2 linked regions of the Caenorhabditis elegans genome follow. The protein of the gene in region 2 purifies or fractionates together with the protein of the main gene of each other region. This does not show direct contact. Each region holds a gene or a part of one and is shown on either strand. Other genes may lie near its edges. The genes, in order: cutl-20 and agxt-1.

Region 1 (6,315 bases), on a different chromosome or scaffold from region 2:
CCCCAGAAGTCTGCAAAGAGCATCCGTGTGAGTCCGACAGTGGTAGCTCGGATATCCCGTCATTCGCCCAACACCTTCCGATTCGTCCATTCTGATCATCGCTCATTTCAACTGTGTACGTCTACAATTTACAAATAGTTTCTTTTGATTTATGGAGTTCCTGACTTACAACTCTATCACCAACTGCTAACGGACGTTGTAGCTGCTTTGAATCCAAACTGTCGCCGTCTAGAACACGAACTCGGTAGTCGACTGTCTGAAACATTATATGGGTCTCGCAGCGATAATTTTGAAGCCTTACCTTATTATCCGATAGGCTGCTTGCTGTGGTGGCATCCGAGTTGATAGTGATTCCACCAAATGATACGGTCACCTGAGATTCTTTAGGAACAGGGGCAGCAGGTATACAGGTCAGAAGGAATCGTTTGTCGGTTTCTGCATTGAATCTTAAAAAAAAACGATGAGGAAGTTATTTTTTATTTTTGTCTATTTTTGTTCGTATATGGTTTTTTAGGTACCATGGAATAAAAAAAATGCTCCTAAAAAAATTAGTTTCAATAACAAATATTACTGGTACAGAGAGTGTAGATAGTTAGAGAGTGACTGACATCCGGGACCCAATGGGGCGGGGCGCGCGGAAGAGACGATTCGTGTCGATTTACGAAATGATGACAACGAGGAAAATTTCGTAAATCGACACAAATCGTCTCTTCCGCGCGCCCCGCCCCATTGGGTCCCGGATGTCTGTCACTCTCTAACTATCTACACTCTCTGTACCGGTAATACCATAATATGATCATCATTCTACATTAGAAAAAAATCGATCTGAAATCACAGATTTTTGGCCTCCCTCATAAATTGAAATGGAAGAGGTTGCCAAACTAGGCCATTTTGGCTCGGCCATATCTGGGGTAGATTTACGGCGCGTTGCGTGTCGCGTCGCGGCTCGATTTTAGTTGTAAAACTAAATGTAGTTGGCCGTGTGGAGTACACGACTTTCCCACGCGTTGCCCGACGGGCGATTGCCAATGGAGCGCGAGAATCTCAATGAGGAAGGCCATGGCGCGCCAGAACCCCATGATTTTTAGGGTATTTCGAGGTTGGCAAATATTCTGGAATCTTTTTGCAAAATGTTTTTTTTTTTTTGAAAAAAAAATTCCAAAAAATATCCTGATCGATGAAAATTGTTGGGTGAAAAAAGTTGCAGATTTTAGGAGAAATTTGAGAAATTAGAAAAATTAGAAATTAGGAGAAATCAGAAAATTTCCAAACTGCTTTCAGAATACTTGTATATATTGAAATAGCCTAAAAATCATGAAATTTTTCAAAAATCTCTAAACTAGCCTCCAAATTTGGTAGTAAAAATTCACTGGCAGCAACTTCAGAGCGAGATTTTTCTAGTTTAAAGTGCTCGTATGTCGCTGAATTTTTTGTAGGTACCTATTTGAAAGCTCTTTTTTCAAAATTCAAAAATTTAATTTTCAAGTTTAAATTTTGAGTAGCGCCAGTGGGGGATTTTGTCTAAATACACTTATTATGATCCAAAACTACCTGAGTAATTGCCACTTTTTGACAGTAAATAAAACATTTACAAAAAAAAAAAGTTTTATTATGATATTCGGTCACTTTGGGACCAAATGAATGGTTTTTCATAATTTCCCCACTGGCGCTACTCCACCTTTAAAACTGAGCGGAAATACTTTCCTTGTGAGCATAGCGGCAAAAAACCTAGTACCACATGGCAAAAAAAAACCCACTCATTGTTAGCCATGACAACTTCGATCTCATTCTCCAAATTGCCTTCTCCGTTCTCCTTGGTCGAGCAGCCAGTCAGCGGAATCTAAGCAAATAATGCCCAAAAATTCAATACATTCAATAGGCAAACCTTCAACTGATATTTGGTGTCCGATTGAAGCGTGCCATTTGCATAGATACACTTTGGATGGCCCGCGCGACTTTGTATCGTGCCACGGAAGTTTTCGTCAAACTTGATTTTCAATAGGAAATCTGTCTGCAATATTGAAGACGTTTTTTTCCTTTTGGGTGGTGACCTTCAAGGTTTTGGCCTGGGTTTTTAATCTTCCATTAAATGCCCTTCAAATTCGCTTTTTCGAGAGTTTAAGAGAGTTTCTAGGCCGAGGAACTTCTTGCAGCCAAATTTCTAAACTATTGTGTTTTTGCCAAAAACAATGAAACATTTTAGGTCATTTGTGACGTCATATTTTTTCCATGCAACTTTTTATTGGCTCCACACATCTTCCAAAAAGCCTAAGCCTGAGCCTAATCCAATGTCTAAGCTTAAGCCTAAGGTTCAGCCTAAGCCTACGCCTAAGCCCAAACCAAAGCCTAAGCCTAAGCCTAAGCTCAAGCCTAAGCCTAAGCCTAAAAAAAACCGGAAAATCCTAAGCCTAAATAGCGTCAGTAGCAAGCTAACGCTCGCCACTGACGCCAAACCTAAGTCTCGGCTTAAGCCAAAGCCTAAGCCTAAGCCTAAACCCATGATTAAGCCCAATCCTAAGCCTACGCCTAAGCTTGAACCTAAGCCTAAGCCTAAGCCTAAGCCTAAACCCAAGCCTAAAATTTCTAGGCCACCACTAATATTTTCAAAACTCGATTCTCAAATACTTCATTTTTTCAGGATATGAAAGTAGGACAGAAATGGGCAGGGTATATGGTATGGAGCAAATATCACAAGATGGCAGAAACATAGATACGGGGTGGGAGTGTTGGACTAGGTGACTTTTCTAGGCCATCCCTACCTTATCACACGCAATAGAAGTGTCCACAATGGCCACCGATCGAATCAGCGGTGGCAGCACCACAACCACCGACCAAATGATCCAGTGCAGAATCATAAATTTGTGGAGGGAAAAATCGATAACAGTAGTGAGGGTAATAGTAGTAATAATACAAATATATATGGAAAAATGAATACAAAAAGATGTGTGCGCTGGTTGGGGTGGTGGCGTAAGAATACAGGTGGGTGGGGGGTATAATTGGAGCGTGGCCGAGGAGGAGAATCGCAAAAAAAAGAAGGAAAGAAAGAGGATAGTAATGACATGTTACGGTAGAAGGACAACTACCTAATTATATGAAAGAGGGGGGGGGGGCGACGAGAAGAGGAAAAAGTCTTACGCAATTTGCTACTCGACTTTCAATTTCTGCTAGAAATCGAAAAAAAAATAGGAAACAAATTCCGACTCTATTCGATATCATCACTTCCGGGGCACGGCACAGGTCGGATCAGATTCAACGACGTCTCGCGATCCCGACCCTCTGATCTTACGGCCATCCCATTGTTCACATGATAGTCGATGAGCTCGGAGATGTTGCTGAACGTGCGATCGCGGGTTCGGACTCTCTGGAATTTTGAGAGGTTTGAAGGTTTGGCGGGGGGGGGGGGGGAGGGTCTTACGTTGTGATTGTCCAGTAGGATGAGATGTTTGTGCTCGTTTTCAGCGGTTCGGCCACTCAGCACGTACTTGCCGGGCGTGTGGTCGCTTTGTCTGCAAGGAACTGGACAAGTTTGAGCGGCCGACAGCTTGCGGGTCTTTTTTTAGAGAAGGGGGACTGTGAGGTGTCCGCTGCTTCAGACAATCTTAGCATCATGCAAACCTTGCATCTTTTGTATTTCAGGAAAAAAAACGCAGAATTTTTTTTGAACAAAAATTTCAGCCTAAAACAAAAATCTAAAAAAATTTTGGGAGGATGAACTTATTATACCAAATTTTTCCCTGGTCTTTCAAGAATTATTTAAAGTCCCGTGGCTTCTGAACATATTATCAAACAAATTACAGATATGAAATGTGACTGAAGCTTTAAGTCAGAAATATATAAAAAAAGGATTTTTCATACTATTTTTTCAGTCAAATTTGATTTTTTTAGACTTTCAGATTTTTCTACGAAGTCTGTTAAAATAGGCTTATATTAAAAAGCTATCCGATTTACTATTAGTAAAAAATTATAGCGACCGACATCTCGCAGGTTGTTAAAGAAAGGTGCATTGACCGGCTCACGCAACTTTGGCAGTTTATATCTCGGCTGGTTTTGGTTTTATTTAAAAAATTTCAATTGACGAAATATTTATCACTTTTTCTACTAAAAGTTTGCAGTTGAACACTTTTTGCTAGCAGCGATATTAACCGAGATATTAGCGGAAAAAGTTACATGAGAAACATGGTGCATCGACAAGAAATATCTCACAAAACTTTGGCAGGTTATATCTCGGCTGGTTGTGGTTTTATTAAAAAATTGTTAATTAACAAAATGTTTATCCTTTTTTCTACTACAACTTTGCAGTTCAACACTTTTTGCTAGCAGCGATATAAACTGAGATATGATTGGAAAAAGTTACATGAGAAACATGGTGCATCGACAAGAAATATCTCACAAAACTTTGGCAGGTTATATCTCGGCTGGTTGTGGTTTTATTGAAAAATTGTTAATTGACAAAATATTTATCCTTTTTTCTTCTACAACTTTGCAGATGAACACTTTTTGCTAGCAGCGATATAAACCGAGATATGATTGGAAAAAGTTACATGGAAGACATGATGCATTGATCAGCTATCATAGCTCATATTTTACTTATCTCAGGTTTTACCAAAAAATTGCCAATTATTAAAACATTAGCCTTTTTCTTCGAAAATCAAATTTTGCCCGAATTGCCGAAAATATAGATTTGATATTTTTTTGTAGATTTAGGAGCCTAAACATTTTTTAATTTTTTAAGTATTGACCGTTTGCTTTTAAAAATGACTAATCGAATACTGAAAACACAGTTAACTTTTTTTTCAATTTTCGAATTATAATTAGGTTTGAAAATTGCCGAAAATGTCGGCATTCAGTTGGAATTTTGGCAATTGCCGAAAATTTCCGATTCCCACGCGCCCCTGGTGTGAACCTAGTGAGCATGAAGCCAAACGTTTTAGAAATTCAGCAAAATTCTAGCTTTTTTCTATAAAAAATCTAAAAAACCTTACCGAACCAAAAAATCGCCTTCCGTCTTCAACAAAGCCTGTGCATCCTCTCTGGATAAATTTCCATGATACCAAACTTTCCCCACAACATCCTCAGTTACAGTAGGTGCTCGGCAATTCGACACAAATGACTGTCGATGCAGGGAACTTCGATGTCTCATCGGCGGCGCCGGCACCGTAAATCCATCGTTAGAAGTTGAAGCATTCGCCTGTGCATCAAAAGTGTTCACATTGATCGCAGTGGTAAGGACGTCGATGAGCTTGTGCACATCCTCGATGAACACCACGTGGCATCGACGATCCGTTCCATCCTTGTTTTTTGCAATGTAGCCGAACATTAGCTCCGTGTCCGTACCCTTTTGGCCTTGGGCTCCGAATGAGAAGAATGAGAAGGGATGACGTTGAATTAGACGACTTTGTTTTATGATTTTGATCATTTTCGAGGAAATGTTGATGTCTACGGGGAAGTTTTCTTTTTTCACTTCACCGATTACCTGAAAATAAGGATGGTTTACCTGGGCTTTTTCATCGACCCGTGAAGTGTCGGCTGCAATAATTTTAGTCGAAATTAGTGATAATAACTTTTCTATGAATAGCGGCTGACATCATTTAGCGCGATTTTTGATCGACCTGTAAGATGTCGGTTGCTTTAGTACATTCTATAGTGGCAGGCTTTTGGCTGAATTTTACTGGATATATAAGCTATCAAAATTTGAGCATGTCGATGCACCATGTAATTATCTCAGTTTATTTCGCTGCTATCAAAAAGTGTTAAAATGCAAAGTTGTAGTAGAAAAAACGATAAATATTTTGTCAATTGACACTTTTTCAAAAAAAAACCAAAACCAGCAGAGATATAAGTAGTCAAAGTTGAGTCAGATATTTCCAGTCGATGCACCATGTAACCTTTCTCTAATAACCTGTGAGATGTCGGTTGCTATAATTTTTTAGTCATTAATTTGGACAGCTTGTTAATTTGAAATAATTCTTGATGATATCGTAGCGCGGCCGACATTTCACGGGTCCTTTTTTTTAAACATTTTGCAAAGCTGGTCATGCATTTTTGGTAACACTTAATATCAAATTAATGAGAAAATGTTTTGTAAATTTTTACCATTAGCCATGCCCAGAAAATGGCAAGTTTTTTATTTTATTTTCTTTTGTTTTTTTAATTCACAAAAAAAAACTCACCCTACTAACAACTGGATTGATTTCTCGAGCCGCAGTCACGCCAACAGTAGCTGCAACGTGTTGTATACATTCTCTGAAAATTGAACAGTTACTTTATTACGTAGATTTTTTATATATTTGAGCTTGCAGATGTTACCTGCCTTCA
Region 2 (6,315 bases):
TGGTTTATCAGGGAACATGGTTAAAACCTCATGGTAGGAAGAAGCAATGCTCACTCGAACTTCTTCATCTGAAAATTGTTATTTTTAATTTTATTGCAAAAAATAAAAAGACAGCATATTCATTATATTAATTGGGTAATGACACTCCGACCACACGGACAAATAACTCACCATGATCTGTACAGAACATCTCTAAAAATGGAAGTAATCGATCCACGTGTTTTTTGAACATAGTCAGCATACATGGATAATTGAAACAACACGTCTTCTTCAATACGTTACGAATATTCTTTTGTGGGCCTTCACATAGTTCGTCTGATATTTGCACCATTTTGCAGTATGTATTCAGAACCCATGATTTGTCAAGTTGATCGAGAAGCTCATTGAGCTCCCATGACCATTTTCCAAAGTTGTTCGATATCACTGCGAGACCTTCATTCTTTTTCTCAAGCGCCTCTTCGGTTAACTTTTTGATAACAGAGAAGAGTGTGTGCTTTCGTGCATCTGAATTTGAATTTGAATTATAATTGAAATGATTATTTTCTGACAAAACCTCTTGTGAACAAGGAGAATGCATCAGTCAAACTATTCATTGCAGCTTCTCTCACATTCATTTCTTCATCATTTAATAAATGTACATATGAAGGCAAAAGACAGGACACAACATCGTGCGAGTTTCTGAAAGTTAAATGATTTTACACTAAAACAAAAAACCCCAACAACTTACTTAAGAGCATTTGCAATGACAAAAAGTCGTTGAGCAACTGCTACTCTCACATTTGAATTGGCATCTTTGCACAAGGTGGTAACAATTGGGCACAGTTCTTTTCTTATTCTTAAAATGTTTTAATTCGTTCATTGCCTAGTTACATTTTTTGTAAGTTAAATATATTTTAGAAAGCCGGTAGGTTAGGACTATTATGAGAGCGAAATGAAACAATTTCAAATAACAAACTCACTCGTTCGGAGGTAAAAACAATGCCAACTTGTGAATAATCTTAGTGGCAATAATTCGTCTTTGTACCCTCTGAACAGGTTCTGCTTGTGTTTGAATTACAGGAACCACCTGAAAATTAAATGAAGGGGATATCTAATATTTATGCTTACATATAATTTGATTGAGCTTAGTGACAATTTGTCTGCAACTTCAACAATTGTTTCTAACCAAGCAGCGGCACTCACTGAAAAATATGAATTTAAAATTTACACATAATTTATTTAGTGCGCAAGTTTTTTTTAGTTGTTAATGTTATAATTTTTATAGTTTTGTCAATGTCTAAAATGGTAATTCAAAAGAGTATTAGGTAAAAAGGTAAAGGTATTATTAAAAACAAATAAATTGTTAGTTGAGAATACATACAATGATGCATTTGATTGTTGATGCTACTGCCAGCTTTTATAACAATTTTTTCCTTTTCCTGAGTGTCTGGAAATGGTTAGGATAGAGGATAGAAGGGGAAAGGTGGAAAAACATGTACATACGATACTTGGAAAATACTTACGATGCTCTTTTTGATTTTGAATATTTTGAAGAATATTCTCGAGTAGAAGATCAACGATTCCCCTAGAAAGCTTGTTATTTTAAAGTAGTGGAATGTTTTAATACTCACTGAAATTTTTTCACGAGGTCCTCATTTTGAATAATTGACTTATAGACAACTGCAGCTTCACAGTGAAGGTCTAGGTTTGATTTTTCAATTTTCAAACATTTTTGAATTGCTGGTAGCATTTTTAGAAGGCACTTTTCTCCGTCGGAGGTGTCCAGAATGTCAGGAAATGTGCGAATTGATGTGAGCTTTTGAATTTCAGTTCCGTCTCTGAAAATTTTATGGTATGAACGATTTCCTTTTTTACAAAATGTCGAAAAATCAATTTTGATTTTTTAATTAATAAATCTTACTCTAAATTGATTAGAGCCTGATCCAATGGTGATCTTAGCAATTCCTCAAGATCTGGATCTTCTGCCATTTTGAATAGTTTTTCGAAATCCAACTTCATTACAGGAGGTTCTTTTTCTTCTGTCTCGTCATCTTCAATTTGATCATGCTGGAAAACAAAACGAATTCTATAAAATCTTTTCTGAAGAAATTTTGGTGTGAAAGCCGTTTTAAGTAGGCAACTACTGCAAAAATTTAGTATATTTTCCAATGCCTAATTTCATTACTCATTACTCATTTTCACAATCAAAAACTTAAATTTCTAAATCTCGTTTTTTATCATTACAATTATGCCTTACTTTAATATCAACTATAGATTCTCCATCCATTTCTGTGGCAGCGACCATTGAAATGTTGGAAAATGTGATTAGAATATCTGAAATTTTTCGAAAATCAATTTACAATAAGATGAGACAAAGAGCAACACGAGAGAGAGATAAGATAAACGAAAAAAGAAAAGAGTCAACAGTTTGAACGTCCCGCCTTTTTTTCGCATGATCCATCAAGAGGTAGGGGCAGCTCTTTAGATGCATTTTTGTTCGGCAAACAAATGAAACACATTTTCAAAATGGTTTGCGTTGGGCAAGAAAGTTTGAAAGTGTGGTTAGATATGACGAGTGATCTAGAATGATGCAGAAACAACATGATTCTTCAATAATACAAACTCTTTTTGCTTTGGAATGTAGAGGAGGTGGAGGAGAAGCAGGAAGAGGCAGCTGTGACTCCCGGGCGATGAGCAACTATCTCTATCCTCTCGAAACATTCAAAATGATTGGTGAGACGCAGACATCAAGTCGGTGTGTAAAGATATTCGGCCAAGAGGATCGGGATCGAAGGGCACGCTTGTGATCCAGTGTGAGAAGTTAAAAGCGAGGGAGGAGATGAAGAAATGAAGACGAAAAAGCTCAAAGGATGAAGCTGAAGAAAAAAAAGATAGAGAAAGATAGTGTTCACAGCAAAAACAGACACTGAAACCGGAGAGCTTCAAAGATCACGAGACATCACAAATTTGAGTTGACCTGTAATTGAATCCAACTCGATTTCGAAAAACCTGAGCAGTTTTCTTATTTTTATCAATAAAATGTGCAATTGTTCAAAACATTTCAAAATGTGCAATAAACTCGTGTGATCTGGAAAGTGTTCTTCACGAATCAGTACTTTCCGAATTCTCAAGGTATCTCCAGGCATACAAGTGAATTGGCTGAAAAACTCATTTATAGATTTGGGTAAAGAAAAATGTGAGGAGATTTCAGACGAAGCTAGGCGAAATTCAAGGAATAAGATGTAGAAGCTAAATTTGAAAATGTTCAGAAGTTAATATCTCAAAGCTTTATTATTTTTCCAAAGTTAACACAAACCAATGAACTTTTAAATATTAATTTCTAAATTTATTCATCGTATCAATTTCTGTAGACGTGAAATGCTATTTTCATGGAAATGAAACTAGAAAAAAAATTTATTCCGAAGTCTAAACTTCTCTGGATCTGCTCGTTGTTCGAGGTAAAGTTCAAATTAAACTCTCTTGAAGTTGGTAATCTTTCTCGATTTGTATTGTTTTGAGTAAGATAAGTTGGTAGTCCTTAAATTTTCTAGTTTCATTATTTGGTAGACAATTTTGAAAAATGTTTTAATGTTTTTTTGTAGCCATCTGACTAATTCCACGTCATTGATTAGACCACTTTAGTTCCCATTATAGCTTATTGTTCGCACTTTATTAAAATTTTAACTGATTTTTAAACTGTGTATTTAAAAAATTCCACTAGTTTTTTTCGGATGATCTCCTAAATCTTGAAACGTTATTTTCTAGATTAACGGAAATGTGCCAATGAACTATCCATAAAAATTATGCTCAAACCAAATTGCAAAAAAGTGTTGTTTTCCACTCAATTTCCATAAACTATAAAATAACCACGAGGTTTTCCCCAGTGCACTTTCAAGTGTTTCTTTGAACTCTTCTCTAAAAATTGACCGATCTCTGGGTGTCTTCTCGTTATCATTTATACCATCGACTGGTCATTTATACATTGTGATAAAATAGCCCCTCAGTCAGTCAGTCAGTCAGTGAAAATGAAAGAACAATGTACTTTGAGGAGTCACAGAGATATTTGCCGCCTGCAGGACAACCTCCTCAAGTTTTCTTCTCTACCTCAATATTCTTCCTCAATTGATTTAATTTCGAAGATATGATTTCAACGCGATTTCTAAGACCTTCAGTCTCGATTTTTGGATTTGGAATTAAGGTGAGTTCAATTGGTTCAAAAATAATAGGTTTATTGAGTACACAAATTGGAACCGCCTCTGAGAGTTTATTGTCATCATACATCAACATATGTGTTATCATTGATGAAACTGTTCATTGATACAATCTTTTTAGTTACTGCAATTATTTTATATTTATATGCCATTGTTCATTAAAAAAAGTTTTTGAAGGTTTTTTCCTTAAAAAAAATTATCTAACAGCATGAAAATTATGTCTTTCGAGTTCAAACTCTAAAATCATGTACTTGATTTTTACAGTATTTGGTGAAAAAAAAACCCACTTTGATTTATGGAAAATTTCTAACCATCTAGTATGCCGTTTGGCATTCGACCCTTCAACCCTTCTCCCCTAGACATCAAACCAATTCTTGACCATTTGGACACACCGTTCAATCTCCTCTTGACCAATTGGTTTCTCTGTGTCTCTACTCCATTCTACATGCAAATAGAGCGCATTTCATATTAGTTCCATGTCAGTACTGCGAAATGGAAAACATTTTAGTTAAATTTAAGATCAGTTTTTCGTTAATGTTTTGTTTTTAATAACATTTGTTTTGAGAACCACGTGTTGAACGACCTTTTAGTTATTATATTCTCAAATTATCACTTCCAAATCGATTACCATGTTCTTCGAGTATTTATGTATTTTACTTTTTTTCCAGTCATCAATGTCGTCTCGTGCTCCACCAAAAGCTCTTCTGCAAGATATGGTTGTCCCACCGCGGCAACTTTTTGGACCAGGACCATCGAACATGGCTGATTCGATTGCTGAGACCCAATCTCGCAATTTGTTAGGACACTTGCATCCAGAATTTGTTCAGGTATCTTTTTATGTTTTGTTGGAAAAATAGTAAATCGAAAACTAATTCATAAAGCTTTAATTTCAGATTATGGCAGATGTTCGTCTGGGTCTTCAGTATGTCTTCAAAACCGACAATAAGTATACGTTTGCTGTCAGTGGAACTGGTTAGTGTGCATATATCAACTTTCTCAATATCAAATCTAATATTCAGGTCATTCTGGAATGGAATGCGCGATGGTTAATCTTCTCGAGCCCGGGGACAAATTCCTTGTAGTAGAAATTGGACTTTGGGGACAAAGAGCTGCTGATTTGGCTAATAGGTTTTTAAAATCAATATTCTTGTTACAAATTAAAAATTGATAGAATGGGAATCGAAGTTAAGAAGATTACTGCTCCGCAGGGGCAAGCAGTTCCAGTTGAGGATATCAGAAAGGCAATTGCTGATTACAAACCAAATTTGGTTTTTGTCTGTCAGGGAGATAGTTCAACGGGAGTTGCTCAACCATTGGAAACAATTGGAGATGCTTGCAGAGAGCATGGTGCTCTGTTCCTTGTTGATACGGTTTGTGGTTTTTTTTAACTTTCTCGATCCTCACCATTTATTTATAAATCTTACAATGTTTCAAAAATTAACGGTTTTGTTTCTGAAAAGTTTAAGGTGTTTTTTAATGTAGTAAAATTGAAATTTGCCGAACGAGTCTCAAAATTGAAAATAGATGTTTAATGATCAAAGTTTTCATTTTCAGGTGGCGTCCCTCGGTGGAACTCCATTTGCAGCAGATGATCTGAAAGTTGATTGTGTCTATTCGGCAACCCAGAAAGTTCTCAACGCTCCACCAGGACTTGCGCCTATCTCATTCTCCGATCGAGCCATGTAAGAATAAGAAACAAAACACATATAGTTGCATTCCTCTTCATTTTTAGGGAAAAAATCCGGAACCGAAAACAACGCGTCGCCTCGTTCTACTTTGATGCCATCGAATTGGGCAACTATTGGGGTTGTGATGGAGAATTGAAAAGGTTGGAAAAAACTATGAAATGATGAAATTTATTGAAAAATTTCAGATATCACCACACTGCTCCAATCTCCACTGTATATGCTCTTCGTGCAGCACTTTCTGCAATTGCAAAAGAAGGAATTGATGAATCAATCCAAAGACATAAAGATAATGCTCAAGTGTTGTATGCTACTCTGAAAAAGCATGGATTGGAACCATTTGTAGTGGATGAGAAATTGAGATTGCCATGTTTGACTACTGTGAAAGTACCGGAGGGTGTTGACTGGAAAGATGTTGCTGGAAAAATGATGACAAATGG

What was found.
Region 1: the proteins of agxt-1 (region 2) and cutl-20 fractionate together in Caenorhabditis elegans (co-fractionation; one large-scale study listed by BioGRID). This does not show direct contact.

Annotation. Positions count from the first base shown.
Region 1 is NC_003279.8:966,478-972,792, forward strand, and holds the start of cutl-20 (ZP domain-containing protein), read right to left. Parts: upstream 2,981-6,315; 5' UTR 2,856-2,980; coding exon 2,760-2,855; exon of another isoform or gene 2,611-2,759; intron 2,012-2,610; coding exon 1,886-2,011; exon of another isoform or gene 1,841-1,885; coding exon 1,758-1,840; intron 447-1,757; coding exon 302-446; intron 257-301; coding exon 170-256; intron 122-169; coding exon 1-121. Other genes in the region: shc-1 (SHC-transforming protein homolog 1), read right to left, coding at 3,203-3,361, 3,416-3,506, 4,983-5,473, 6,171-6,243.
Region 2 is NC_003280.10:8,842,203-8,848,517, forward strand, and holds the start of agxt-1 (Alanine--glyoxylate aminotransferase), read left to right. Parts: upstream 1-3,395; 5' UTR 3,396-3,437; intron 3,438-4,027; 5' UTR 4,028-4,120; coding exon 4,121-4,177; intron 4,178-4,858; coding exon 4,859-5,017; intron 5,018-5,083; coding exon 5,084-5,162; intron 5,163-5,209; coding exon 5,210-5,318; intron 5,319-5,361; coding exon 5,362-5,560; intron 5,561-5,744; coding exon 5,745-5,872; intron 5,873-5,922; coding exon 5,923-6,018; intron 6,019-6,063; coding exon 6,064-6,315. Other genes in the region: F46C5.6 (Serine/threonine-protein phosphatase 4 regulatory subunit 4), read right to left, coding at 1-68, 172-504, 554-678, 728-835, 960-1,066, 1,108-1,181, 1,361-1,426, 1,503-1,564 and 3 more.